4 linked regions of the Arabidopsis thaliana genome follow. The protein of the gene in region 4 interacts with the protein of the main gene of each other region in a pairwise test. Each region holds a gene or a part of one and is shown on either strand. Other genes may lie near its edges.

The links.
Region 1: the proteins of TCL1 (region 4) and ATH1 interact in a two-hybrid assay, tested with the Arabidopsis thaliana proteins (one large-scale study listed by BioGRID).
Region 2: the proteins of TCL1 (region 4) and BMY2 interact in a two-hybrid assay, tested with the Arabidopsis thaliana proteins (one large-scale study listed by BioGRID).
Region 3: the proteins of TCL1 (region 4) and AT5G27810 interact in a two-hybrid assay, tested with the Arabidopsis thaliana proteins (one large-scale study listed by BioGRID).

The regions. Positions count from the first base shown.
Region 1 is NC_003075.7:15,912,660-15,921,350, forward strand, and holds ATH1 (homeobox protein ATH1), read right to left. Parts: upstream 5,495-8,691; 5' UTR 4,881-5,494; exon of another isoform or gene 4,730-4,880; 5' UTR 4,547-4,729; intron 4,230-4,546; 5' UTR 4,215-4,229; coding exon 3,366-4,214; intron 3,274-3,365; coding exon 2,930-3,273; intron 2,838-2,929; coding exon 2,777-2,837; intron 2,374-2,776; coding exon 2,206-2,373; 3' UTR 2,011-2,205; downstream 1-2,010. Other genes in the region: AT4G32970 (BRISC/BRCA1-A complex protein), read right to left, coding at 128-201, 450-563, 640-933, 1,026-1,184, 1,387-1,641; AT4G32990 (Transducin/WD40 repeat-like superfamily protein), read left to right, coding at 7,571-7,750, 7,875-7,961, 8,085-8,309, 8,403-8,467, 8,593-8,658. UniProt on the Arabidopsis thaliana protein: Transcription factor which may be involved in the signal transduction pathway downstream of the COP1 gene. Controls floral competency as a specific activator of FLC expression. Is responsive of the nuclear import of SHOOT MERISTEMLESS (STM).
Region 2 is NC_003076.8:18,350,233-18,358,900, reverse strand, and holds BMY2 (beta-amylase 2), read right to left. Parts: upstream 5,377-8,668; 5' UTR 5,308-5,376; coding exon 4,789-5,307; intron 4,616-4,788; coding exon 4,388-4,615; intron 4,304-4,387; coding exon 4,223-4,303; intron 4,080-4,222; coding exon 3,876-4,079; intron 3,753-3,875; coding exon 3,558-3,752; intron 3,437-3,557; coding exon 3,272-3,436; intron 3,183-3,271; coding exon 2,922-3,182; intron 2,841-2,921; coding exon 2,628-2,840; intron 2,540-2,627; coding exon 2,320-2,539; intron 2,231-2,319; coding exon 2,205-2,230; 3' UTR 2,013-2,204; downstream 1-2,012. Other genes in the region: AT5G45290 (RING/U-box superfamily protein), read left to right, coding at 6,809-7,009, 7,084-7,992, 8,074-8,280, 8,374-8,522, 8,621-8,668.
Region 3 is NC_003076.8:9,852,734-9,858,612, reverse strand, and holds AT5G27810 (MADS-box transcription factor family protein), read right to left. Parts: upstream 2,943-5,879; 5' UTR 2,787-2,942; coding exon 2,427-2,786; 3' UTR 2,155-2,426; downstream 1-2,154.
Region 4 is NC_003071.7:12,966,195-12,973,389, forward strand, and holds TCL1 (Homeodomain-like superfamily protein), read right to left. Parts: upstream 4,047-7,195; 5' UTR 3,867-4,046; coding exon 3,797-3,866; intron 3,660-3,796; coding exon 3,572-3,659; intron 2,666-3,571; coding exon 2,569-2,665; 3' UTR 2,371-2,568; downstream 1-2,370. Other genes in the region: AT2G30430 (uncharacterized protein), read left to right, coding at 1,982-2,218; TPP (thylakoid processing peptide), read left to right, coding at 7,050-7,195. UniProt on the Arabidopsis thaliana protein: MYB-type transcription factor involved in trichome cell specification. Acts as a negative regulator of trichome patterning and formation by direct binding to the cis-acting regulatory elements of GL1, thus suppressing the expression of GL1.

The sequences.
Region 1 (8,691 bases), on a different chromosome or scaffold from region 4:
GACAGAAATGCAACCAGCAACCATCCGAGGTGCTAGTCCAGATTCAGCTATTAAAGGAAAATACATAGCACAGAAAGAATAAATAAATTGAAGTAGTATATTAAAGCACAAACTACAAAATGCTTACGCGCGATCCAACGGCCACCAGATTTTAACCCTCGACCCAACTATCTTTTCATCATACTTTTTGAAATCAGATGTCTGTCAAGGAATTGATTCAGCATGAGTATACAAATTTTTCTTTTTATTTTACATTGTTCTTAGCAAATGAAACTAGTATATACAAAAGATAAAACAATGGATGTTCAAGAAAATAATATCTCCAACATGAAGAGAATAAGAAGCTGAAACCATGAATAGTTATTACTACAATTCGCAATTGGTAAGGTTCTTCCCAGAGTCTTTGATATGAGCAACAGTTATTAAACGTGAAAAGAACAAAAACATACTTTCTCTTTGCCTAGGCTGTGTATTCTCTTTGTGTTTGTCTTAGGTTTTTTTTCTAACGGTTGCTTCGCTCCTTTCGTTGAATCTGAGGCTGATTTATCACAGGAAACAGCTGGCTGAAACAAAATCAAAGAATGTCTGCATCAGCAAAAGAAGAGAAAAGTCATATAAGCATTTCTTAACCGCAGTCACCTTCTTTGCAGGAGGCTTGGGGAGATCAACTTGAGCACATCTTTGAGGAGGATGTGATAACAACGTTGACATACGCCTGAAAACAGACTGTGAAAGCCCATGACTGCCCTCAAAGATGTAACCTTCATACTCCGAAACACGCTCTATAGCATCAACAAGAGAGTCATACACATCGTGAGTACAATTATCAGGACCCGACTTGTCGTGCAGGTACATAACATCCAATGTGAAGAGCTTCTGGTTTATAGGCCAATCATGGGTTGGTCTCACGGATGACCTGCAGTACATGAGAATCTGAAGAGCAAAATATAAACGAAATCTGTAAAACAGATTCTTTTATCACGCTGTGGCTAGAAGAGATAGTATTTGCACAAAACAAAACTTACCACTCTCAAAATTCGATTTTGTGCTCTGGAAGTTTTGGCTTCCTGAGCCGCTTCCTGGAACAGAAATGTGAGATCCGCTGGACCAGAGGATCTAGTAGCTGACATTTCTCTTAAAGAAGCAGCAGCAGATTTAGCATCGTTGGAGAATTCCTTTTTAAGCTGAAACATAAAAGACCTCAACTTTAACAGTCACACTAGTGAAGCTTATGCAATACATCAAATATGACTCTCTCAACACATTTATAAGCTACCATAGTCCAATGAACATCACGAATTCAAAATTTGACATCTAAGGAGCATGCATACTCAAAAGCAAAAGCAACCTAACATAAAGAGAGCTGGGGGAGAAAGTAAGTCTTACCCAAGCGGCTGACTGGGAGAGGGTAGCGAAAGCAAAGCGATGATCGGAATTTCTGGAGAGCTTGTCGTGGATAAAGCGAGTAATGGCTAGCTTGAGGCACTCGAGCCTGTTCAAAGGCTTACCGTTAGTTCCAGTGGTCTTCATCTCCACCGTCGATTCCGCATCAACATCGACGCATATGAGTATGTCTTCGCTGGGTTCCACCGAGTCTCGAGTGGCTACAGCTCCGGTCATGGTGGCTCTGTCTTCCTCCATTCGCCGTAAAAGGCTCCGTCTTTACACTTTCTTCCTCAGTTTTAGCAAAGTGTCTTCCTTTTCCTACTTTCTATTTCTAATTGTGTCCGTACCAGATGAAAACGCTGCGTTTTTATTAGTTGACCGAAGATTCTCAAGTCAAACCAAAATACGACGTCGCTTGCTAGGAGATTTTCGTCATTATTCATTTCAGTTTTTGGAATAATAAAACTCACTTGTAAGAGAAAAAAAGTTAAATGCAAACGGTGAAATAAAACTTTAGGTTTGTATTTTGTAGTTTGTTTGAATAAATATGAAAATAAATCTTCAGTGGTTACATACTTTTTATATATTTTCATGAACTTAATTTTATTTTTACGTAAAAATGGTGATCATGAAGTTTAATGAGGATGATGATAATTATGATATAAGAATACAGGATAATAAAATGAAATAGTCAAAGATAAAGGAGTTGTATATACAATTATAACATACGTAATGATAGTCGTACATGGTTTAGGTTTTGGGCAATCATAGAGTAGCAATTGCCTAATTATCACAAAGTTGGTAAACACAATTGTTGTCTTATTTATGCATTGCTTGGCTCATCATAACAGATTTTGGCATTCGAAGAGTTGGTCCGTTGGGTTGAATGTGACTGTTATTGAGCTTCCTCTTGTTCATTTCCGCATACATCTCTTCTATCATCGGCTTCCATAGCCTAACCCGCGCATTTATAAACCAGTTTGATACCTTTAATCACACACAACAAAGAGACACACTCTATATCATTTGCCCGCTTTAACTTACTTCAGTAACAAAACATATGTGCGACTACAATCCTAGGACTTGAGTAACATTATTGTGAATTCAAGAATACATAATCTAGTCTCATTTGTAGTTCAAGAGAAAAGCTTGATTTTTTCCTAGCCCTAATCTCATCTTAAAATAACCAATACCGGTTTTTCAGACATGACTAGTATGTCAAGATATATATTACTCATTTGAATACCATATTTGCTATCATTGTGAGCAAAGATGTTATCAATAAGTCATTGCATAAGAAAACAAAGATCTTATCAATGAGTCATTGCATAAGAAAACAAAGCTTGTTATCAATGAGTCATTGCATAAGAAAACAAACATGAGACATTACCTGACTTCTTGTCAAGCCACTTCGTATAGCTAGAAGATGTTTCTCCGAATCTTTCGGGTAACTGCATTAAATAAAACATAACTTTGCTTATAAAATCGAGTTAACAATGTCATCATCATAAAGTAGATAGTTAAGAAGAGTAAGGATTGTTACGGGTGAAGGAAGTTTTGGAACATCCAATTCCGTAGAACCGAAACAGATTTCTCAGGCAAACCTCGTTGAGGTCTCCAAATCTGATGGTTCTTTCGTTTCAGCTGCTGAAGAAGGCAATGCTGGTGGAACATAGAGGTTTCTTGAGTCTTGTCTTTGCCTCTCTCCAATACAGATCCCATAGAGATTATCTTCTTGCAGATTCTCTCTCTCAGGTTCTTGTATAAGAAGGAAACGGTTTGGAGGGCAAACCGGGTGTGTAACTGTGGATCTAACTCGGTTGCAGCATGGAACGCTGATATAACCGTATGAATCTCATCTACGCAATGACTATATCGATCATCCACCTGAAGAGAAATATCAACTCATAAAACTTCATCATATATATCAAACCATTTTTTTAACTTATGCAAAAAAAGTGAATGAATATATTACATACCATTTGAAGAAGATCCAAGAGATGGGTTTTCTTTGCTTCTAATGCTCTCCTTTGAAATGTAGATCCGAAACCCGCCTCCGAGTTATTAGAATCACCATCAAGAAACTCAGTTATATTCTCAAAACGTGAAGTAAAGGCTGAACTAGCAGCTCCTGACTCGGTTCCTCGAGATGAATAATCGAGCGAGTATGCGGCGAAATGAGATAGTATTTCTTGAACAGAGTGAAGGTATTTTGAGCCAAATATAAGTTGAGAGAAACCTTGAGTAACAACGTTATTAGAAATGTCTTTGCTGCTGCAAGAAGCTTGCTCTGAGGCTAATCTTGTAGCTGCACAAAGACTTATCTCCGAGCATTCATCAGAAACATCTGATGCAAGACTCAATGAAAGCTCATTGTTTCTTTTATTCGAAATTAGAAACGGGAAATCTTCTTCACCGAATGTAGACATCATTGGTTCACTTGGACCAACTACACCTGAAAATGCCTGAAACTCACTATTTGCTTCAAAACCCCACATGTTGTTTGAGGAATCATCATAGTGTCTTAAATGATCCAAAGGATGAAGTGGAGGAGGATGAGGAGGAGGAGCCATGAACTCAACATTGCGGTTATCTTGAACATCGATAGACCGTGGAGAAGATGATAAGTATTTGTTAGTCAGCATAGAATTGAAAATATCAAAGCCACCCATTTGTAGAGGATCTGATCTGATGGTATTCCATGGAAGCATTGTTGAGAATGAAGTTGAATCTTCTCTTGAAGGTATAAAATCCATGAGAAGAGGATTTTGGTTAGTCATGACATTATCCAGAGAACTAAAAGTGTTGTTGTTGTTGTTGTTGTCCATTGGGTTTCTATGAAACTGCATTACCAAAGAAGACAAGTATTTAAGACTTAGACAAAAGATTTCAGAAAATCTAAGAAACCAAATCTTTGGAGAATAGTACTAAATGTAAAATGCTGCAAGAGACAGAGAACATCGCTCACTATGTCATTAAATATTTCATTAAAATATATAAAGAACCGAAACATGAGTTAATGAAGCCGTAACTAGGCTCAATGATACACAGACCAATAATATCTCAAAGCTATCTGTGATAAACAGTGAACTAATAAGTAAAAAAGAAAGCTTTAGATTACTACAAATGTCCATAGAACATTAAAAATGTTGAAACTTGCCTTTATCCTTCTTCTTCTGATAGAACCTTTGGGAAGATTTCAGACAACACAACGTTCCAAAGAGAATTTTTACATCAAAATTTCCAAAATGTGTGTTAAAAACTGAAGAAGAAGATAATGCTTATTTATCTTCTTTCTCCGTGAAAGAACAGTGTACTTTCATTCCGCAGCTTCTCTATGTTCCTAAAGAGAACCAAAAAGCAGAAATCAACAATAAAGTTAGTATTCATAAATTAAAGAGAACAAAATAATGCAACAAAACTGAAAAAGAGAAAAGTGGGTCTGATTAATCTCTTTTGCATGAACGCAAACACTTACAAAAAAAATTACTTACTTTTTCTTACAATAATTTCATGAAGAAATTCATAATCTTCATCATCTGCCTCACTAAAAGATTCAGAGCACTAGATCAACAAATAGCAACATTTTATAACTAAATAAACAAACCAAAAGTTGTATTATCGAGGGGAAAAATACAACTTTAATATTCAAGAAAGAAGAAGTTGAAAAGAAGGAGGGCCAAATCACGTACGGAGCTGCCTCTGTTTATGACACGAATCCATTTTCATATCTTTAAGATCTTCCGACCAAAAAAAAAGATAAATCAGAATCAAGAAAATCTTATATATAATCACTTTCTTAAAATGTCATTTATTTAAAATGTTGTTCATAGAGAAAGAGATGAATCTAGTAAAATTATCTAAAGAAAATATATGGTTGAAACAGAATCGAAATCCAAAAAAGAAATCCAAAGACATGAAGAAGACCGATGTGTTACTGTTTACTACAGAGAAGTGCACTCATTTCTGTTGCAGGCTTTAAATTAGGGAAGAGACCCTACATTTTACTATTTACATGTCTCTATATATATATATATGTATGTGTCTCTATTTATAAAATTTTATAAAGTTATAAGAAAATGGTGTTGTCTTCTTGTGCTGGTTTCAATTATCACAAATCAGAAAGAGGGAAAAAAGTAAAGAAGGGTGAGATCTTTTTTAGCCATTTAAGGAGAATTGATGAGATGTGTGATCCATTTGGGTTCTTGCTTTTTCTTCTTTCTTTTCTCACCACTCGTGTCTTTGTATTGTGCCATCAAATCTTATATCCATTTACGTATTTTTTTCATATAAGTTTTTTACGTAAGCTTTACAAAAATATCAATCAATTTGCTTGGCCTTTTCTTTGATTGTTCCTTTCTTATCATTTTTATTTATTTATTTATTTATTTTAAGTTCAATGTGTCGTTATGTGTTACGTCTTTATTATCATGGCTAATGATGATGGAATTGAACTCTATTACTCGTAGACTATATAGATTGCAACATCTGAAATTATGCTCTTCTTTATTACAACCAAAAGAAGAAGAAAATCTAATGGTACTTGATTTGATCTGTATTAGCGTGACTTGATCTGTATTTTAAATAATGTTAATGGTACTTGCCTAAACAATGACTTTCTAAGCTGGTATGAGACAAAGAAAAGGGTCAAGGACAAGTATCTTGCATGGCCACTCCAAGCAAAATTGGATATTGATTTGGTGAAACAGTTATTGTTGTTCGTATAGGACAAAATTATTTTCAATAGAAATCGATAATTATTGATATCATATCCTTATTATTGTTTGCTTACAAGTCTATATTATTTAATAGTTTGAAATTTTGATTTAGTAAAGCAGAATAGTATCAATAACACTAGGAACTATAGTACCGACTATTAACTGAAGCTGGAATGCATCTTTAATCATGCCTACGATCTTAATCAATAACACTTATTAATGTTAGACTATTAGACCCGTGCTCATAACTTTTGGGTCCTAGGCGAATTATAAAAGTTACTTTTTTTTGTTGTCTGATAGTCCAAACAAGAACTTGTAATGCTTTTTCTAAAATGAAACAAAATGTACGTTGGCTATGGAGCCTATCGACTCCAGCACCAGCAGATGCTTAATCTACTCCATAGACTAGAGCGCTTTTTATCTGAAGTCGTATAATTTCCCAAGTCATTTGGCTTAATTATTGTGTATCAACTTATACTATATGCTACTGATGTCTTGCTTAGAATATTATACAAGTTCATTGACTTAGAATTATATATAGGCAGACTAAGCAAAATGGGAATAAATGATCACAGAGGGCATTAACTAGTTCACTGAGGTTCAACAATCTACTTGATCTTAACTCCTTTCGAATTAATATAGAAGTCGAGCACTTGAGGATCAGAAAACACACATTCATTCTCAGTGTCTGAAGCACTTGAGGGTCAGAAAACACACATTCATTCTCAGAGCGGCGTATAATTTTAAGATGTCAATCGCTCTTACGTAAAGATCGATAGCCATCCACCTAAACATATGCAATACTCCTTCTGTGAACAAGAAATTTATTGATAAAACCAAGTGTGTTAGCAAGTTAATCTTTACATAGAAATCAAGGACTCACTCTTAATGACCAGCAAAGTGTGTTAGCAAGTTGAGTGACCAGCAAAATTCTAACCCTAAAAAAGTAATGTAGAAAGCAAGCCCTCATTATCACCTTTACCGTGACATTTGGATTTCCATCTCTATCACCACCCATCCAGGAACCAAACTTTAGTGGATTCATTGATGCAATGCAGATAGAAGAAGAATAGAAGATGATGCAATGCAAGAAAGACATCCCTTGAGAGAGCCCAAACCATTCACCTTATTCCAATACATTAAAAGGTGTGGTTTTTCCCAAAAAAAAATTAAAGTAAATTTTTACTTTTAGAAAATTGGAAAGAAAATTTACAAATCAGATAAATGAGAATTTACAGCTCAATATTTCCATATCTTCCAAATATTTTCCATAGATTTTATTTTATTGGAAAAAGTATCTTCTTAAAATACCTTGAGAGGTTGTTTAGACTTTCTAAAATTTATTGGAAATTAATCTTAACCATATGCTTTAACTTTTGTTATTTACCTCGACGGGCCGATATTATATATATAGCAAAATTTGATTTTCGTGGAACTTATAGGCTTCTCTGCTGATCCAGAAGGAGATGAAAGTGATGGATAAGAATTTAGGGTTAGAGGAGGTTCAGAAACTTGAAGGTCACACTGATCGTGTTTGGAACGTCGCCTGGAATCCCGCCGCTGACGGTGTTATTGCTTCCTGCAGTGCCGATAAGACCGTACGAATCTGGGAGCAGAGTTCTCTTACTCGTTCCTGGACCTGCAAGGTCTCTCTTCTCTCTTTCTTTCGAATTTGATGTTGTTAGATAATGTGTCACTAATGAACATGAAGCCTCGTGATTGGTCAGGCTGTTTTGGAAGGCGCGCACACAAGAAGTGTGAAGTCGTTAGCTTGGTCACCGTCTGGGAAGTTTCGATGGCAATACTTGCGTTTGGGAAAATTTTGCTACTGACTCCGAGTCTGTCTCTGTTTTACGGGTACTAAATGTACTATCTCAAAGGCCTATCCTTTATGTGTTTGTTGACAACTGAAATTTATTGTAGGGCTTTGATGTCCCTCTGGGTTTCTTGACTTTTTAAAATCTCGTGGAATTTTCTTAGGGACATGAAAGCGAAGTCAAAAGTGTATCATGGAATGCATCTGGTTCGTTGCTTGCAACTTGTGGTAGAGACAAGTCTGTCTGGATTTGGGAAATACAACCAGAGGAGGACGATGAATTTGATACTATTGCAGTGTTAACTGGTCATTCAGAAGATGTTAAGATGGTCTTGTGGCATCCCACCATGGATGTTTTGTTCTCTTGCAGTTATGATAACACTATCAAGGTTAAGAGAACAATGCTTCAAATGTGCTTTCATGAATTGGTGTCATATCTATGCATAAGCATTTAACTGCAATGCTTGTGTTTCTATTAACAGATTTGGTGCTCTGAGGATGAAGATGGTGATTATAATTGTGTACAAACCTTAAGTGAACTTAACAAGTATATCCTCTATTTGTCTCTTCTTTACTTCTCACATGTTGAAATTTTCCTACCTTGATGCTATTGTTTTCTTGATATTTCTTTTATGCGTTTAGTAATATATGTTGCCTTTAATCTTCACTCAGTGGTCATTCTTCTACCGTCTGGAGTATCTCTTTTAATGCTGCAGGGGACAAGATGGTCACTTGTAGGTTGGTGAATCTTCTCCCCATTGTTTCGGATAG
Region 2 (8,668 bases), on a different chromosome or scaffold from region 4:
CTCGGATTCGCTTGGTGCAGGTCGGGAACTGATTGGCTGACACCGACACGTGTCTTGTCATGGTTGGTTTGTGAGCTCCCGTCTTGTATCAACTGAATCGGAGTCCGAGGTGAAAAAATAAGGATCCAACTATCAGATCTGACACAATTATTCTGTTTGTTGTTCGTCTAATTTTTTTGTTGAAAACTGTGTGATTTGATTGATTCGGTATTGGGTTTTATCTAAATCAAGATAATTTGTTGTTTTTTTCCTTACTTTTTAAGTCTTTGTTTTAGTTTCGAAGCTTTAAGAATAATGTTTTTGTTTTTGAAATGTTAGGATCTAGGGTTTTTGAGCTATATAGATATTGTTTTCGAATTCTTTATCAGTTATTATTTATTAATGTTTAACGGGTAAATGAATTTAGATATCAACAGATTCTGATGGAAACTCTGTAAATTTTGAAGCTTTATGGTTTACCGTTTATGGGGTTTTGAGAAAATTTTAGGGTTTATGCTGGTTTTAGGTTAGTGATGATGAGATTTATACAATTTCGTTCAGAATAGTAAACGCCGTTGATGACGTATATTTTTCTTTTGTTTATTTTGATGATGTTATTGGTTTGTGATTTAAATAGAGTTTTAGTGACTTCTAATATTATGTAAAATCTTTTGTTATTTAATCAACATTTTCATTTTTTTTTGTTTGTTAAAGTTTGATTTTATTAGTTTTAAGATTTATAAAATATAATCTAAAATATTCATACTCTTGGAATTATCAGATTCATGTTTTTATAGCTAAAATTTTGTGATATTCAATTAAAGCAAAAAAAATGTATCATTGTTGATAAACTATTGCTAGAGAGTTTTCTATAATCATGTAAATTAATTTTTCACAATCTTGTAAAGTTTTTCAAACAATATCTCTATTTTGATTATACTTTTTTTGTCAAACATTCGATTATATTTTTTATGATTTTATTTTGTTAGTAAAAATATAGAAAATCATAAACCAATAACAGAATAATTTAATTCATTAACAATCAAATATTTTTTTTGTTTTAGTTGAATAACACAAAATTTTCAATGACTTTAAAATATAATTCCAATAAATCCAAATTTATTAAGAGTTTTAAAGATTTTTTAATAAATCAAAAACTAATAACATCAAACTAAAACAGAGAAGCTAACCGTATGTATATAGGGAGGCTAACAGCCTTGCAGACGGGTTAGCGAACTATGCTTTTAATCTATCTTTAGGTATTCATTAGTTTGATTTAGCTCCCTCATTGGTGGAGGAGATTGTAAGGGAGGATGTCCGAGGAACTGCGTTTCCGAGGCTCACCCGCCTACCGTTTTGTAATTTCTTTTCAGTTTCAATAAATTGCGGGAGACGGTTGTTTCCCCTCTACTACTAAAAAAAAAACTTTAACAGAATTTAATAGAATCTTGATTAAATAATAACAGATTTTTCATATCATTTAAAGTAATTAAAACACAGTTTAAATCACACACCACCTAAGACTTTTTTTCCATCTTTTTCATTAATCATATTGGACATTTTGCCTCATTATCCCACATTTAGATATGTATAATAGAGGCTTTGTTCGTTGTGGTTAACTAACCCTATTTCTTATGCTTCTTTAGATACAAAATCAAATTTTCGTACGGACCAACATTATATTGTCCATGAATTAACACTGAATGCAAAAGGACATGTTGGTCTTTTTTTCCCCTCTTTATTTGTTCTTCAAAGATTTGGTTGGATCTAAAATGTCAAATACAATCATGAAAAATCAGGATTTTATCAGAATATTATTTGAATGATACAAAAGAAAAATGTAACTTTGAACAAAAATTATTAATACCATTAATGTAATCGGATTCGGGCATATATAGTCAAAAAGGTTATTCTAAGAATAATTTAGACAAAAAGGTATAAGAGTTAGGCAACACTTTTCGGTTGTATTCATTAGACATCAATACCTTCTTGTATTTTTCAAAATAAAACTAAACAAGTGTCTACTTTACGCGAGTCGGATTAGAATGCATTTAAGAATTTAATTAGTTAGTTCATCTTCAACTAGTGAAGTGTTAAGGTGTTTAAAGATTACAAGATCAATCGTCTTAAATATAGGCCTTGAGGAGAGAATAAACAAAACAAAACAGATTTTGAAGTTTTAAACAAAAGACACTTACTAAAAGAATCCTAAGACCATGCAAATCCTAAAACTGTTTATCTCTTATGTCGCCTGCAAAGAAACAAATATAGTTGTAAGAACAAAGATTTTGACAACGAATCTAAAGGGAAGGCACAATCAAGCGTGCGGGTAAATCTTACCATGCATGCGTTTAATGAAGTAGTCCAAATCTGGAAAGCAAGTAGATCCTTGAACCAGAGGAGAAGGTTGACGATATGTGAAGAAGGAGAAGTGATAGCCATCTGGATGGTTTCTTGGTTTAGCTATATCGATTAATCTCATACAACCATCTCTGTCGAAACAAGTAATCGCATTCTCTCCACCGATTTGAAGTCCCTTATCCCAAGCTGCGTTGATCACCTGCCACAAATAACCAAAACTTTAGGGTTAAGATTACATTTGCTGAGAAGTAAAAAAAGCTATAGTCATCAATAAAAAGTGTCATTACCTGCCAACTTAAACCTTCTGGATCAGCTAATGCTTCTTCATGCGCATTGGGAGACATTTGTGGCCCAGGGCACACAAACTTCACAGTCACGGAATATTTCTTCAGAGTTTCGAAAACAAGAGAGTACCCATCACGGTTTGAAGGGTTGTAGTATCCTGCAGTTAATTCAGCAGCATGACTAGCTGTCTTGTATGACCAGTATATTGCCGGTATCTGCATTGTTGTTTTTGGTGTATGAGTCTCATTGTTATAGGCATCACTGGGTTTGAAGGATAAGTGCCAAAAGGATTATACCTTGACAATAATCTTCGTCTCCTCAAATGCGAGATTTGCAAGAGACAGAACATTCTCAGCATGACCAATTAGCAATTGTGAGTACCAATTTAAGAAGAAGCGGCCATAATAGCTGTCATATTCACCTCTTTCTTGGAAGAACACAGTTTCATGTGGATGAGAACTGTATTGACCAGCATTCTCTGGTCCTTTACCCCAGAAAGTGAATCCTCGTGACTTTGCTTCCTTTTGCAGACTCAATTGCGAATATTTGTCATAACACTGCAATAGGAAAAATAGTAAATTGATATGTTAACTTCACTAGTCATAAGTTAGAACGTAGAAGTAAAGTTCAGCAATCTGAAAAATACCTGAAACTCACCGATACCGGGATAAATCCAACCCATCCTTTCTGGGAAAGATGGGTACTTTAGTTCACCAGAAGCTCCAAGACCAATCTCAACCGCAGTAATTAGTCCTTCCACAAACAAGTCATCAAACTCTGACCGGAAGCTTCTCATAAAATCAAAATAGACCTGGATAATCAAGTGTTGAAAAGGAAGAAATAAGAATCTAGACAGTACAAAAGAGGAGGAAATGAGACATAATATACCAAAATACTGAACAATTTCTGAGCAATGAGTGTTCTTTGAGTACCTCTATACCAGTTCGTCCATGCAATACCCGTTCCTTGTCAATGCTCCAATTCAAACACTCGAAACTTCTTCTTCCTTCACGATCAGTGAAAAAAATGTCTGGATTGTCTTTCCCAATCTTCAACACCCACTGTGGCAACGAAATCATCACATTCCCAGATGCATTCCCTCCATACTCATGAAATGCCATCACCACCTTCAAACAAACCATATACTGATTGCTAAGATATTATGAAAAAGACGGTCCTTTATAGGGAAAGTCACAGTTTGGTCACATAGGATGTATTTAACAAAGCTCTACAAGTAAAAATATTCACACCTGTAGCTTAAGTTTGAAGTCTCTGATAAGGTTAAAGAGCTCCCTATAGCCAGACCATACATATTTCTGAGGGTTCCATCCTTCAACTATTCCCCACCAACAATCTATTACTACTCCATCGACATTTAATGACTTCATGTAACTTAATTCTTGTCTTACACCTTCAGGATCAACCAACTGGCCAAAGTTGTCTATAATGCCAACCTGAAAGACAAGGTACAGAACTTTAGCACAGGAAAACTAAGGATCGCGGCAAAACTGGTAAGAAATATATGTACACTCTTTTTTATTGGGCAACATCCATATATATACACTTAAAACACAAAGTTCTCTCATCAGAAGCTCACTGGAAGCATGGCGTACACAGGGACATAAAAGCTCTCTGTGAAGTCATTACATTGCTCTGCGGAATGAACATCTTGTATAAGCTGAAAGAAAAACAAAGTGGTTAGATGAAACAACGTCCAGCTTAAAGTCAATTCTCCTAATAAGGAAATGAATTTATCATTCACCTGATTGGCTTCCAAGCATCCAACGGAGGTGATAGGACTAACACTAGTATACCTTCCATTCCCGGGATGATCACTCTCGGCAATACCAATAGAATCAAGAGACACAGGAGCAAGTTTCTCATCGTTCCTAAGAACTGAATGCTGCTGAGATTCAATTGCAGCCTTAGCACAGTTCTTCAATGTACTAGAAGAAAGTGGACTCTCAATAGATCTCGTCGGAAACTGTACCTAATCCAATAATATTAAACAATCTATGTTACATTAATAACAGAACAAAGCTTATAACTTTAAGAGCTTCACACATATTTGGGATCAAATTTATCATCTTTCCACTAAACCCTAACTTAAATAGCTTAATATGAAAGTTTGAATTTTGAGAGAGAGAGTTTCGAAGTTTGAACCACATGATTTGGTTGCTGTGATTGCCGATAAGTAGTACCATCGGCTTCAACACTCCAACCAGCTTCACGAGCCAAAGCAGCGATTACGTCATTCATATCAGCACGCGCCGGTAACGGAAAATTACCGTACTGTCTTAATCCGGCGAGCATTCTACTAGTGATTGCTCGTCTATGTCTTTCTCTAAGCTTCGTTCTCTCTTTTTCCTTCTCCCTCTCTCTCTTCCCTTTCCCTCCTCCACCTCCTCCGCCGCCGCTGCTTCCTTCTCCACCGCCGATTCCGGCGATGTTTCCGTTGTTTACATCGTTTTCCGTTGGAGCTATCGACGCTGCTGCTGCTGCAGCGGCGAATCCGCGAGGGCGGCGAGATTGTGGTTGGTTGCGGTTCCGGTTGGGAAATTGATCCGGGTCTGGAATTGGGTCGAGATTCGGATCTTGCGAACCGGTGGTGGTGGTGATGGTGTTGTTGAGAGTATGCATTTTTGTGCGGTGAAGTTGCTCGCTTCTGTGCTGTTCCCACATTTGAGATTTTTTTGTAACTTTATGGATTTACAAATCAACGTCGGTAATTATTATAAATTACGTTAAAAGTCTCTCATTATCAAAATCGTCAATATTAACCCCTCCTTTTTTTTTTTTTTTTTTGGTCAAAAACCTCTCTTTTTTTTTTGTTCAACAATAGCCAATGTGACCAGTTTTGACAAAGTGATACTGAATTACTGATGGGTTTGTTAGGAATGACACGATGGGTTTTACGGTTTTGTTTCCAATCCTTTTTTTCATGGTTTTATTAGTTTAGAAAAGAAAAACTGAATAACATAAATACATAATTTGTCTTTTGATTTGATTTTGGTTTAGTAAATCAAACCAAAATCATGTTAAAATTAGTTTACATATTTTGACTCAGGTTTTTATTTTAGGTAGGTTTTAGTAAAATTAACATTATAATTATAAATAAAATGTTAATGAATTTCCGTTTATTTGATTCGATTTTATCATGTTAAAATTAGTTTTTGTTTGGTCTTTAAATCGACTTTACAGGGCCGGTCCAACAAAAATCTTCTGAAGCTAGAATGCCACTATATCTAAATTGTAAAATACTGAAAACAATCACTTCATAAAAAAAAATGATTTGTATATTTTAGTTTATTGTGATTTACTTTTTTCAACTCATTTTTTTTTTCTATTTTTAATATATCTTTTTTCTTTCTTTCTTTGAAGTTAGTGTAGTTCAATTATATTTTAATTTTTGAGAATATAGATTCGATTTTGGTTCGATTTTGGTTCGATTTTGTATTTCTGCTTCGCAATTTATAAAACCAAAAGGCTTTGTCAACAAAATTTCAGTTTTGAGTATAGTTTGAATATTCTAGTTTGGTTTGGTTACAACTATTTTTCATCTAAGTGATCACTGTTCAATGACCATTTCAAAGCTTTTTTCTCAATTATAGTCCTCAATGAAGTCCAATTATGATTGCAAAAAAGATTAAAAAATCGAACGAAAACAAAAGAATGTTATAATAGTTTGAAAAAGAAAAGAAAGAAAAATAAAGAAATGGTGAGTTTGGTTTTTTGTTCCCTCTCGTTCGAACATCAAGACACACTCTTCCCGTAAAAGTCTCTCTCTCTATCGCAGATAGGTGCTTTGTCTCCTTCTTCGATTACTCCGATCACCTAAAAATCTTTCCTTTTCTTCAAAGCATTTCTCTTTGATTCAAAGACAACACACATAGCTTAGTTCCTACATTAATTTCTCGCAATAAAAAAAGTTCAGATTTCGAGGTATTCTTGCAATCTCGATCGAGTTTCAGATCTGGGGATTCAATAATTAGGGCTTTTGATTCTGCATTGTCAATGACGAATTCGGGTTTCAATGTAAAGATCTGAGGAAAAAGTTTCGATCTTTAGATTTTGACTTGGAGGTTTCTTCGATTGGTGGATTTGAAGAAGATGGGGAAAAGACTTGTGGGTCTTGTGTCAATGATGTAATTTTAGCAGAAAGTTGTTTGCTTTTGAGAAGAAGATGGGATCTGGCCGGAGCAAATCATGTCTAGGCTCGTCGGCGATGGCGAGAGAAGCTTCTGACGTGGCTCAACCTCCTCCGTCGTCTTCTAGTGGTGGTGGAAGGAGAAGAAGATCAAAGAGTCTTTTTTGTGGTCTTCACTCTTCTTGTCTTGCTTCATCTTCTACTTCTCATTACAGTGATGATGATAATGATGAACAGGTCTGGTTTTGATATTTAATTTATTTTGGTCAAATCTGAAATTAGGTCAAGTTCATGAGTTTTGATTTCTTCAGGTGTGTAATGGATGGATGAGGAAGAGTCATGGAAGTGTTACACGGCGTAGAATGGAATCGAGAAGAGATGCATCAGATTGCTATGATAAAGAATTGAAAGATGATAAGAAATCTGAAAACGAAAGACATTGTGATGAGCTTGAGCTTGATGATGAGTGTGGTGTTGAAGAAGAAGAAGAGGAAGCTAGTGTAAGCAATGTACAGATGAGAAATGTTAGCGGTTCGATTCAAGAATCTTCTACTCCAGGTCGAGTTTTTTCGCATTTCAAATTCATTCCTGGTAACATAAGCTCTAGACTTAGCAGAGCTTCAAGTTCAAGATCCTTCAACACGACTTATCCAGTCTCTTCTTCTCATAGAGAAGATGGTGTTACTTCACCTTCAGAATCTGCTATTAGGCTCAATGATAGAGTTGAGTCTCCGAGAATTCCTGTGATTGACAATGTAGTTAGAGATATTGATGCCATGAGATTTGGGGAAGATGGTAGCTTACGTTCTCCGAGAGTAGTTAATGGTATGGATAGTACTTATGCTGGACTTCTTGATAGAAGACATGTTGTACGAGAACCTTCTATTGAGCGCAATGTTAGATTTAGTAGAACTCTGAGTGTTGGAAGACTCCGTGATAGAGTTCTTCGCCGATCTTCACTCTCTGATTTCGCATTCCGTCCCTCGCCACATCAGGGAGAAGAAGATACTGATCTCTTCTCTGCTGAAACCGCAGCAGCAGAGGATGCTCCTGTGACTTCAACGTCTATACTAAATCGTTCCGCTTCTAGCATTCGAAGGACCTTATTCGGCATTCAGGATCATGAGACACCAGCTGCTCTTGTGAGAGAAGGGAGGTATCAAGGTTTATTAGAACACAGATCAGATTTCCTTGAAAGAAGGAGGAGAATAAGATCTCAGGTTTGAAACTCATTGATTCTCTCTTCCTTGATGTGTCTGATCAACTCAAGATCTAACTAACTGATATAACTAATTCCACAGGTTCGCGCTCTTCAAAGATTAGGAAGCCGGTTTGAGAATGTCGCAGTCCATCATGATAGATCTTGTGTCTTATCAGGTCAAGATCAAGCAGGTCGCTGCACATGCCGTGCAGTTACTAACCGTGGTTCGACAACAGCAACAACCGATGAAACAAATGCAAGAGCTAGCATCTCAAGGATAGTATTGCTAGCTGAAGCTCTCTTCGAGGTAAATACATGTTTTCGGTCTCCCTACTAACAGCTTTTTGCCACTATCTTTCTTTCTCATGTATGCTAAGGATCTACAGTGCATTCATTTTAGGTTCTTGATGAAATTCATCAGCAATCTGTTGTCTTATCCTCTCAACAACCATCAGTATCATCTATAGGATCTGTTCCTGCACCTAACGACGTTGTGGATTTATTACCGATAAAACTTTATACTAAGTCACAAAGCGAGGATCCATCACAGTAATGCATACTAAATTCTCAGATCTTTCTTTTGCCAATTGTGATGCTCAAAAGTCTCGAGACCTAATGGTTAAACATGTTTTTTCCTGGAACCTCAGATGTTACATATGCCTTGTGGAATATGAAGAAGCAGACTCTATAAGGAC
Region 3 (5,879 bases), on a different chromosome or scaffold from region 4:
TTTTTTTTTTTTTAAATTATATATTTAGGGTATTTCGTATATTTGAATAATAGATTATGTAATTGACGTTTTTACCCGCGGTACACTGCGAGACGATTTGTTTTTAAAGTTAATATATATTATTTTTGAAATGTAATGTTTATGTATTTGGTGATTGTAAACTATCTTATGAGTTGACATAGCACAAAATTAAGTAAAAAACCACTAAAATACTTACAAATTTGGTTATATAATGTTAGATTTATAATATTTATAGAATTCATGGGATTCATTGTCTCTTTTCTCATCATTTCCCATGGGATTCATTTTTCCCCTCTTACAGAAGTTAATTTTTTTTTAAATTGTTGTCTTGCATCTGACATCAACTAAAAAAATATTGTAAAAACAGTCCAATGATAATCAAAACAGTACCATGACAATACTCTTTGGCTATCAGATGAACTCAAACATTTCTAAAGTATTTGCACATCTTGGCGCTCCTCCTTTTTCAACAAACAACAATCTTTTCCCAAGGCGACCTCTCATCCACTTCAATCACATCCCCCTAATGAGACTCTACTACACGATCATGGATAGAGTTTCAAAAAACAATACATGGCCGTGTAGTAGGGTCTCGCTATGGAGGATGAGATTAAAGTGAATGAAAAGGCGGCTTGGGAAATGATTGGTCCTTGTCACGTCGAAAACAAAGTAGCGCTAAGATGTGGAAATGCTATTGAGATGTTTGAGTTTGACAACGGAAAACAATCAGACGACAATCAACTGGAGGAGCTCCTCCGGTAATTAGACAAATCTAACATTTCTATCAGTTTCCCTACTATGGTTGTTTGTGACTTGTGAATCAGATAATATATATATATATATATATATATATATATATATATATATATGTTTGTACTTTAAATAAAAACCTAAAAAGCATAACAATTTATGCTCCACATGGTTGAGTTTTAAACTTTTAAAGAAATAATAAAATATAAAATCAAAATCCACTCATTCCCATAAATGAGAATGAATACATTGACTAAATGAAAAATATTAGTGCTAAATTGCTAATGAATATCCATTCATATTCTATTTGATTTTATACCATTAATGGTTTTCATATTTCATCACTTGTGGGATAAATGTATATCTTTGTCTGGGCTTGAAATTTGTAGCATTAACTAGGTATTGATATGTTACACCATGGGATGATTTGTTTTCTAAAATTTGTGATTTTAATATGATTATGTATTTTATATAAAAGTTTGCAAATAATTTATGCATGATTGTCATTAAGTAATAGTATACTGCATGATAATTTTTTGTTTTATATAATCTCTACTAGATCAAGTTGATTTGATATGTCAGAAGGTGTTAAAAAATATTATTGATGGTGTTAAAAATAAATTTATTATGATTTTAAAGTTCAAGTGTGTGTTGATAAAATACTTAAAAGGATTTTGTTTTTTGATAGTCATGATTAAAATGTTTTTGTAATGTAGTTTGTTTTGCTTCGGAGTTGATATAGCTCAAATTGCCTTATGCTTACTCCCACAAATAAGAGATCGTTGTTAGCACTTAAGGGTCAAATTCCACTAAGCTCTCGTTGTTAACACAATAAACTTATGATGACTAATATTAAGCTAGACAAAGTAGATGAACCTAAAAGACAATAAAACAGTAAATTGAGTTGTAGGTTCACAAGACTTTTAAAATGGTTCACATAATATTAAAGGGTTTACAAGAGTTTTTAAAAGAATTTTAAATGGTTTACAATATGTTAGGTACATTAACATTTCAGTGTATATTATTGATTATATATTATATAATATTTGTACTTAACACTTTAAACGAAAATATTTTCTTTTTTAAAATGTGAGCTGTCATATTTTATATTTGAAAGAAAAAATATAAAATCTCAACAGTTCTAAAATTGAAAAGAAACCTTAAATCTAATCTGCTCAAAATGTTATTAAAGAATTAATAAAGGTAAGACATATGTTGAAAAACAACACATAAACGGAAAAATGAAACAATAAAAATAAGAGTATCACAAATCTCTAAATTTAAAAACAACATATCATTGTGAAAATAGAATGAAAAATATCACCATCATCAAACTGATAACAATAAAAACATAAATTGTGATGCAATCTATTACATGACAAAAAAACTGAAAGCTAATTATAAATTCACTTATCAATCCATTCTCGAAATTATTGTAATACCACATTAAATAAAATCCTAACGAAACCATTTATTATTGGAAATACTTAGAACAAGAACTATGTACGATATCGCTTGAGTTGCCGACATCAAGAGCGATGGAAGATTCTCCAGGGATATGATGTTGGTGCTCTTGTTGATGACGGTGGATGTGGTTGTGTTGGCTATCATCCATGAATTGAAACGCCATTTGCTCTCCTGGATACTTCATTTGCTCAAGATGGTTCATCATTTTCATAAACCATTGTTGTTGATTCTGATTGTGATTCTGATTTAAGCATCTCCATGTTTCCAATTAAGCATCGAAACATGACTTCAGTCATCTCGAGCTCCTTATTGTCCTTTCTTTGTCTCCTCAAATTCTCTGTCGGTTTCGCGATCCTTTGTTTGAGAAAACCTTCTTGATCTACCATCTTTTTGTGTTGATCCATTTCCGGGAGTGTCCTAAATTCGGAAACCACTCTTTGCACACCAGAATTTGATGGCCACACTTCATGACTGGTATCATACGGACTGTAGATGATCGCACACGATGTGATGCCACATAGAGTTGAGAGTTCATGTACTTTCTTCATCAACCCCTTCTTTCTTTTTTGAAAGTTGCTTTTCTTGAAGAATCGTTGGAAATGAAAGCAAGTTTCATTTTATTTCTCGTCATTAAAATGTTTTTTTGTATATTTTGAGATTGTTAATGTGTAGTATTATGTAGTACTGAGAAGGTACAAATATTTGTTATATAGGGTATCTTTATTTTAATACAAGAAAATATAAACTTCCAAATCAAGCTTTAATGCATGAACATTATAAAAAAAATCTGAATGGATTGAAGATAGAGATTATAACCGTTTTTCTTATTTACTACATGTATTATCACTACTGATTGACATATGTAGAACTATAGTCCAAATATTTATAGAGTGGTAACATCAAAACAATAAAATAGGATAAAATGTTTAGCTAGCAAATTTAGTTTTTAACAGCAAAAATCATCAATAAATATCAATCTGGTAATGTTATTTAAACATGATGCAACTAATATAATTATTTAATAATATATATAATTTTCAAATATTGTGATGATTAATAAGATATGGTATTAAAAGGTAGTCAAAGATTTGTTTCAAAATATTTTTGTGATTATTTCCCTTGCTGGAGACATTGAATCTCGGTTGTTGACTGGTAAATTAATCATGAACTATTTACCATATAGATAATTCTTTAAGAAATCAGTTTTTAAATCTCTTGATTTTATATATATATTAAAAATAGGTTAGCAAAATTACAATACCCATCGTAAAGTTTAAAAACTTCATAAGTAAAGGCATGTAAAACTAAACTACATTTCTTAAATGAAAAAAAAAAGTATAACGAGGGTGGTAAGTTGAAGGATAAAATGTTAACGAAAAAAGAATAAAATTTAGAAGAGACATGATGAGAAAAAAAAAATTGTATCCAACTTGTGATGTTATCAGAAGATTACAAGATCGCAGTCTAGCAAAATGTATATAAAACTATATTTAAACTCGCGGTATATCGGGGGAACAATTTATTTTTTAAATTAATATATATATTGTAAATTGTATCTATTTATAAAATATTTTTATTTTATAGTTTATAATTATTATTACGTAACGTCCTGCCAAACCCGTCCCGCCAACCTGTCCTGTAAAGAAAACTCATTTATTTTATTAATGTTGACCTTATTTATGATATGTTTATGAATTATTGTCTAAATATTTTGTAATTTTGTAGTAATTACATGCTATCAAATATCTCTGCGATTTGATGATTATAATCATGCAGAAAAGCAACATCAAAAATGATAATTTTGTAGTAATTAAATGATATTAAATATTTTGAAAGTTTTATTTTAGTAATTAATCGTGTAGTTAAGGTAGAAAGATTTTAAGAAGATTGTTAAATGTCAAATATTTAATTAGAAGATTTTCTTTCTAATTATCTAAAATAATTATTAAATGTCAGTGGCAGCCACTGTAAATAAATCCCAACTCCAGGATTTATTTTACAAAGTGGCTGCAAAAATGTATATGTAGATAATTAGAATAAACTAAGTGGTGAATGGTGTATATTATAAAGAACTTATAAATTGTTATGCAATTTAGTAAAATATTTACACAATATTTGGTGATGGTTTTTTACCCATTTTTCCTATAATTTGTGAAAGAAAAAAACAAAAAATGTTATGATATTCAATGTATAAGTTATTAATGGGACCGAATTGGCCTTGCCAGCATATTTGATTATTTTCTAGTCCTGAGATTTTGGCTAAACCGGGTTGTTCGGGTCGGGTTATTCCTTAACTTTTTTTTTTAACATCAATTTTTTCTTCTTTATTTATATTTCTTCTATTTGGATGATACATTTATTTTCTATCTCTCTGAACTTATTTGCTATTAACTTTTTGCAAAAATTAATTGAAATCCCTTTTCAAACTTCGTTGAGGCTATGATTTAAAATTTTAAAATATAACTTAAGACATATGTATGATTTAATAAAACGTATCATTCTCTTTGTTTATTTGATTATTTTTAAGTCATCCGCAATGCCTACAACAACGACGCTTGCAAAAAGTTCGTTTTCATCACCTCAAGATCTTTTTTTTTTGGTTTTTTATGTCTCCATAAATATATGACAATATTAGTATATTACTTACGTAATTTATCTTTTTATCTTCGTGTAATATATATTGTTTCTCTTCATCAATATCATTTTATTTATACTTTAATAAACTGGTACTGAGAGTGAGTACACAAAGACATAATGTCAGTGAGTGAAAGAGAGAAATTCCCCCGCTTTCTAAGGCAACTTTGCCTCAACAAACTTTCTTCTTTTTACCCTACACTTATTTTTCACGCATGCATACATTTTTAATAACAATGACGTGAGCCAAAATCGTTTATTCAACTTTTTGTTTTACATTATTACTATTACACTCTCCTCAATTTGCTTTTTGAAACATATATCAAGGTTTCTTATCCATTTATACATCTCAAATTTTGAATGTATTACTTAAAAGTAAATAAATAAATAAAACAGATAGTGTCTGTCAGAGTTAACAACAGTCTTGAAACTTGAATATTCCGATATCAATATATCATTCATGTAAAGTAAAACAATTTTACTAAACATAACAGAAACAAGTAGTTCTAGTAAAACCGTAACAGTAATTAGAGAGAAAGATTTTTATAAAGCTGTCTTGTCGCAATTTCAATACTCTCGACGGAAATTCATTTGGTTCAGTTCAATGATATCTATATTACATAAAAATAACTCTAAGAAACATTTCTATCATATTAATATTATGAGAAATGACTATATCAATGCTTACTACTGTGTATGTCTATATCACATGACTTTATTATACTCGTATGCATTATTATTACGTACCACTGCCTACTCAAGTAATGTAACACATAACCTTTTACCGAAAGAAAAAAAAAAAAGTAATGTAACACAAAAAGTGGAGTAACAATCAATGTTAACTTCATGTCTCATATATACACCCTAATACGCATGATGTAGTCTAATAAAGTAAAAACTTAGAACGCTAAATTTATTTACATTCTGTTCTATCCATTGACGATTGCATCCTCGGGGAGGGGGAGAGACACGTGTTGGAGTAGTAGAACACGTGCGAAAATATGATC
Region 4 (7,195 bases):
TAGTCTTTGGGGTTTTATGTAGAAACAACCAAATTCTAACATAGTTTAATCTACTATTCACTGCAGTATATCGCTAGTTCTAATTTATTTGACATATCAATTATTCTCAGTTTTTATTTTTATTATTTTGGAATTTCTTCTACTGACGGAGATGGGGATGTGGTCCTGTGAGGAAAGTTACAACAGTAGACTTTTCCAATATCGTTTAGATCTTTTGTTCCGTTTCTGAAAGTATTGTTTGAATCTACTTCTTGAAAATTGGACAAACTCCAACAATCTGTTAATTTGGTGCGGTGATATTAGATCTGTACGTGGGCCGAAATCGTACTCGTCCTAGTAGATCCGAGCCAGTAACCACTATGCCACACCAATGAAATTTCTGATTTTTTGTACTTTGTTTTCATTTTTAGCATTCTACACATATTACCTTTTTTGTTTCTCAACATACATTTTACATACCTTTTTTACACAATTATACATATACGCACTATTTATGACTGGAGTCAATAAATGTCTCAGTGATAAATAAATTCAGTTGATGTAATAAGAAACTGACACGTATAACAAGCTCAATTATATTCAAGGTTTAAAGTTGTCTCAGTTAATGTTCATGTCTCAGCGTGAAACTATAAAGAACCATATATATATATATGTATACATTATTATACAACATTTAATTAGTACAAGACAAATCCTAGGCCTATTAACTAACGAAAAGAACCAAAGGTTTATCCTCGACTAGGCCTATTTAGATAGTTAGATGGGCAAAAGAGTAGTGCGCGTCATCGCTGGGGCTGAAGTAAGTTCATTTATATGATTTGGTTTCTAATTTCAACGATCTCTTTTGATCAGTGTTCCGTCTCGTTCCAGCTTCGTACTTGTAACATGTGTATTGATGCTCTTGCTAAATCAAGTTTGTTCTTTTGATAAGTTATTTTCTTTTTCTTGGTTTAGAGCTTGGAAAGAAATTTGAAACATCAGACATGGTTGCAGTATGTCACTTCAACTAACGTTCTTAGAGCTTGCCCTGTGACAAAGACATACCTTATATCTATAAGACAATAACGTATCTACGAGATATATATATATATATATATATATATATACGAGTGATGCCAAATTTAAAAGCCAGATCAATAAGTATCAACTAGAAAAACAAACAAAAAGACATGCATGTTCGAATAAATACATGGCTTGTTGATTGGTAGATGTTTGATCGATTTAAGAACTTGGTCCACAATATGTCTCTAAAGTGGTCCAATGATTTTAAATGTGAAGTGCGTAGATTCACTTCAGCGCACCCATTATATGAGTGAACAGAATGGATTCAACTTAGCCTCCTACACAAAACTTACACATATTTACTGTATGAATGTTAAGATTTTACTCTATAACTATAATTATCAACATTAGTTAACTATAATTTTACTCTATAACGATAATTATCAACATGGAAAAAGTATATTATCAAAGAATCTAAACTAACACTAACAATCATTCTCGGTCAACTTCTGCTAAAAATCTCCAACTAGCTGAGGAAAAACTTTTTGAGACTCACGTACTGTCTGAGTTTTGGAGTTCTTGGCAACCTCAAACGTACAGCTAGCTATTTGCCACACCAACCACCCAGAAACAATGAAAGAACCGAAGGTGCATGAAGGTCTCGTAAAGATGTTGATTTACGGGACAAGTTGAGAATATCTCTTTCGGCGTATGGTTACTGCCACTCTGCCAGTCTGCCAGCAGTTAATGTCCCTCTCCGATTCTCTGGCCAACGTTGAGTCGCCAGAGAGTGATTTTATTGAGAGTTCTGAATATTTAGAGAATAATACAACTAAATGTCGAATACGGCCCAATTTCAGTCATGTTTTATATTTAAAGCCCACTAACTTTTCCGCAAATTACTTGGACCTATTACTATTAGTACTACGAATGTTCCCAATATTTTGGCTCTATAGAAAATGGTGGAGTGATTTTGGTAATGCATCTTCTCAACATACTGAACGACACATTTGACAGCATCCGATCCTCAACGGAACCATCATCGATAATTCTCTGTCTTATTCCACGAGGCTTGATCTGTGCTACTGATGGAAGAGAATCCACATGGGTCAAGGGCGTCACAAGTAGCACTACGGTCCTTCTCATTGGCCACATTCGTACATTTTTCAAGGAAAAACTTCACATTCAAGCCAAATTCCGATCTCATTTTGGATAGAACCCTTGCATACCACGGTTCATGTTTTTGACATTCTACCTTCATATTCCCATTAACTAGTTGAATTCTTTTCATGCATTGTTATAATGAACTTATCTCGTATCTAATCAATCATATTCGGGTCTTTGGTTGCTTATGCTTTAACCGAATGTGTCTTATAATCATAGAGGTTTTTTCTGCCAATTAAAGTGGTAATTTCCGTGACCATAACAGATTTAATGATGAGGAGAACCCCACTCGACAACTTAATAAAGCTTTTCTTGTCCACAATCACAGAAATTATTTAATGAGGATGAGAAATAGAAAAACAGGGAGATTCTCGAGATTTTTTAAAGAGAGTGACTTTTGCGTCATTTGTGGGAGAAATAGTCACAATTTCTCATAATCCAGTATCTCTCTATCTCCTTTGCCTCACGTCCCACCACTCTTCTTGCTATTAAATCCCACCTGATCATATGATTCAATTTGTGACCAACATATATATGTTATTATTAGTATTCTGATTATTGTAAAAAAATGAATTATTAAAACTAAAATTACATTTTTGATTTCATTACATTAACAGTCTATATATTTATATAAATTTAAAACAACAATAGTTTTTCTATTTCTAATTAATTTAAGTATTAAGGTTTTAACACATATTAAGAACGAATAATTAAAATTTGATTATAAATATATCATTTTGTGATTAATAAATTTCTCTAACTCTAAACCAATAGTATTATTTTTTTTCGAGTTTACAGTTCATCTCATGATTAACTAAAGAATGCATAGAAAACTTGATATATTTATGAAACAATTTATTTTTTGTAAGACTTGAATTAATTAGAATCAAAGGGAAGTATTATAAAATAAAAAAAATTATAGTATAGTTTATAACAATTGTTAGGCAAGTCATCGATTCTTTATATAAGCTTCAGATTCGAATTATTAAAAAATAAAAATTAAATATTGAACAGTCTTAGAAAATATGGATTAAGTTTAAAAAGTAGTTTTTAAAATAAATTTGGTATCTAAAATTATTTTTATGTAAAAAAAACTTTCAAAATATATATATAACTATAGATCCGGATATTTTTTTTTATAAAAACAATTATAATATATGATCCAAAATTTGGTGTGGACAGATCCTGACTCTCACGACATCCGAATTTTCAGAACAAGGTAAAAATGATCTTGGATAGAAGCTTGAATCACGGCAAACAGTTTTATCCCTCACACACAAACAAAAATATTTAATTGTTAAAGCACATATTTTCACACATATTATAATACAATTAGGTCAAGAATTTAATTTTTCTATTTGGAACTAGATCAATATATAAACAGAAGAAGAAAAATGTTACGTGCCTGTCGCCAACAAGTCTGTACATTCTAAAGATGAGATCTTCTTCTTGTTCGGTCATATTGATAAACTCCCATTTCATACTACTCACTTCTGCATTTTAGTTAGTATATAAATTCAAAATATCAGTGAAAACGTACATCACAAAACAATTTAATGTTACAGGTCAAATGAATGAGCGTAGACCAAAAGGAAGAACAATTAGATTTCCAACTAAATCAAAGACAAACCTTGAGAGCTATGAGTGAACTTGGGTTGTTTATGACAGTGAAGGCGGCGAAGACGGTTTGTGTTATCCATTAGTATGTATTGGAAACAGCGAAACAGTATGAACACAAATATTATTGAGAGAAACAAAAAAAATTGGAGTTTGGAGAATGCAAGCGAAGAAAGAGATGTGAGGTTTACAAAACTATGTAGAGACACAAAGAGAGGTCCCCAACTCTCCTACTTGGCCACATAACCTTTAACTTACAAAATATAGGTACACCATAACTTACTGAATAAATTAAATGCTAAAACTAATTTTCAGAAGCAAAGCAGATCACAAATACAAACATTTTAAATTATGGATATCATTCCACTTTGTAATAATAATACATGCATATGATATATGTTGTATTTATAAACGATATATTATTATGTATTCAAAATGAGGAATTTATTATAAAATATTATTTTTTTGTTTGCAATTTGTATGTAGTTATTTTTTCTTATCTTGCAACTTTTATCTTTTTAATAACTTTGATGGAACAAAGTGGATACATAAATTTTAACATAAACTAGGAAACTATATAGTATATCCGGCTCTTTTGTAGAAGATATGAATCATAAAATACATTCTGATCCGGCAAACTAAAAAAAGGAACGAATTATAGATACCAAACAAAAAAGCCTAGTTGTTGACATACACAACAAAATATGTGACATACAGAAGGAAAGGACGAATAATTGTTTTGGAATTTGCATGCATTTGAATTCGAGTACTCATAATCTTCTAAGCGAAAACTTGCGAAAACTTTATCACCTATAAAACATTGAAAATATTGAAACCAAATGGGTGGTCTAATAGTTTTGAAAACTAATGTGTGGGTCAAAGTCACTAGTTTAATACTTGAGAGGAATAATTTATGCTCTAAATAATCAACCACAAAATTTTCGATCTTTCACTCACTCACAGAAAGGAAAACAATTCATTGCTAAAGCGTCATGACTCACGTTGCTTGAATCCTTAAATTTTTTTTGTTGTTGTATGGAAACATCCAAAATCTAACATGGTTTATGAATTAAGTCGCAACTGATTCATTTTATTATGTTTTCAGTACTATAACGTGTTACATTTAAGTGAAGGACATCACATATATAAGTATACACAACAAGTTATCTAATCCAACTAGTCCAAGAAGTTTTTATTTAATCAACAAAAGAAGCAAGGCTTAACATCGAGTTCCTCGACTAAGTCTGTATATCCGCTCAAATCGGAAGTAGACACAATCACACAATGGTTTTTTTAGTCTACAAAAAATCTAACAATTTTGATTTTGGCAAAAAAAATTGTAAAATAAAATTCATCTATATTGGAGTGTATTCTAACAATTTTATCATAGCAAATAGTTTTATGGTTTTAAAACACTAAATAACAGAAGAGTTTTCGTATTTAAATTAGTAAGTTGACCACCACTTAAAACCCAATCTAAATATAAGCCTGAAAGAAAAGAAAAAAAAAAGAAGAAAAAACCCCTAGATTGTTGAAAGTTGAAACCAAGATTTGTCGACAATTATTTAATGTGGTACGATGATTATAAATGTCATGTACGAACGACTTGACTAGGTATTAAACCACACCCAATGAACGGTACATGATTCATGTGTTAACCTCCCCCACTGGCAAACTTACATATGATTCATGTTAACATCCCCCACTGACAAACTTACATATGATTCATGTTACTTTTTTTTTACGCCCTCGATTTGATTTCTCAAACCTAACAATAAGAACCATTTGTATCCACACATATGACCTAATTTGTATTTATTACCTACCTATAAAAAAGTACTTATCAAAAGTTAAAATTAACATTAATGTATCAAGCATACTATATTTGAATTTACATATGTATATAATATAACTTTGCACTGTGGTTCTACTTTTAAGTTTTAACTATATTTGACATTAGATAAGGATCTATGATACATATTAAATTATAATATTAGAAATACAGGAATCTTTTTTATCAAATTCATTATTTATCTATATATATATAGAAGTATTGTAAAATTATTTGAAGTTATACAGTACTGATTCTGCTTAGTCTGTCAGAGTTACAATAAATCCCATAGTTAACCATGTAGACCCACTTCATAAGGGAAGTAAATAGTAAAGGCATGCATATGTTAAAATTCAAATAAAATATCTTCTTTTTTTGTCAAAGAAAGTTCAAATAAAATTTCTTCTAGAACAATTCTCAGGAATCTGATCTGTATTCTTAAACTATTCTAATAGAATATACCGTCGCATCTGATTTTTTATAGAATGTGCCGAGTCATTTTTATTTTATTTTTTAACACAAATGAGCAGAGTCTCATGTGTGACTCTTCTCTTCATATTTACTCTTTTTAACAATTGTTCAGTCAATTTCTTATTGTTCTACACTAAAAACTATCATTAACATGACAAACCAAAAAGAATCCATCATTATCAAGATATATAGGTTTTGATATCTTCTTTTGTTAAGTACCTTAGTTGGTCTTCTTCCCCAATCTAGTTTCTGGTTATTGTTTGTTTTTTTTTGTATACTTTTTATGTTCAAGTTATATAAGAAAACCCTTTCACAAAAAAAAAAAGTATATTCAGGGAACCAGAAATGTTTATCAGTTAATTTTTTTGTAAAACAATGACATGTTTTATCCTTACTTAAAAGAAAGTAATATTAAACAAAATATAGTGGTTTCGTTCGTCAAGCATAACAAATGAAACGACATGATCGTGTGACCCAATAAGCCCAGCAGCCGGATTTGACTTATCTCCTTCTTCTTCCTTTTCGGTCAAATGTTTGACTTTCTGCTAAAAATAACAAAAATGAATTTTAAAATTGAGAAAAAAGAGTTTCACCTTCACCAATCACCATTTCTCTCTACTCGCCAAGAAGTTTCCTTTCCTTTGATTGCACAACTAATCTCAAACTAAAAGATCTTCTCTTTAGGCATACCCAGATCTTTCTCTCTCTAAAGTCTCCACCTTTCACGGTTTTTTGCTTCTCACCTGAATCCAATCAATCTCGCCGGAGTGAATTCACCTTCCTCCGGTTGACTCGTCGGACTTAGTCCGACCTTTCAATTCGTAGATTCTGTTTACAATTCACTGATCGTTTGATTAGAAATGGGTTACTTGTTCTTCTAAGTCTCTCTTTAGCTGAAAGTTTGTTGCTTTACGACTCTTCGATTTACCCTTACTTGTTCAAGTTCTTCATCAAATTCGTAGTTATGGCGATAAGAATCACTTTCACTTACTCCACCCATGTTGCTCGGAATCTCGTCGGGACCCGTGTTGGTCCCGGTGGTTACTGCTTTGAATCCTTGGTTCGTCCTAGATTCTTCTCCCACAAGCGTGATTTCGATAGATCTCCTCG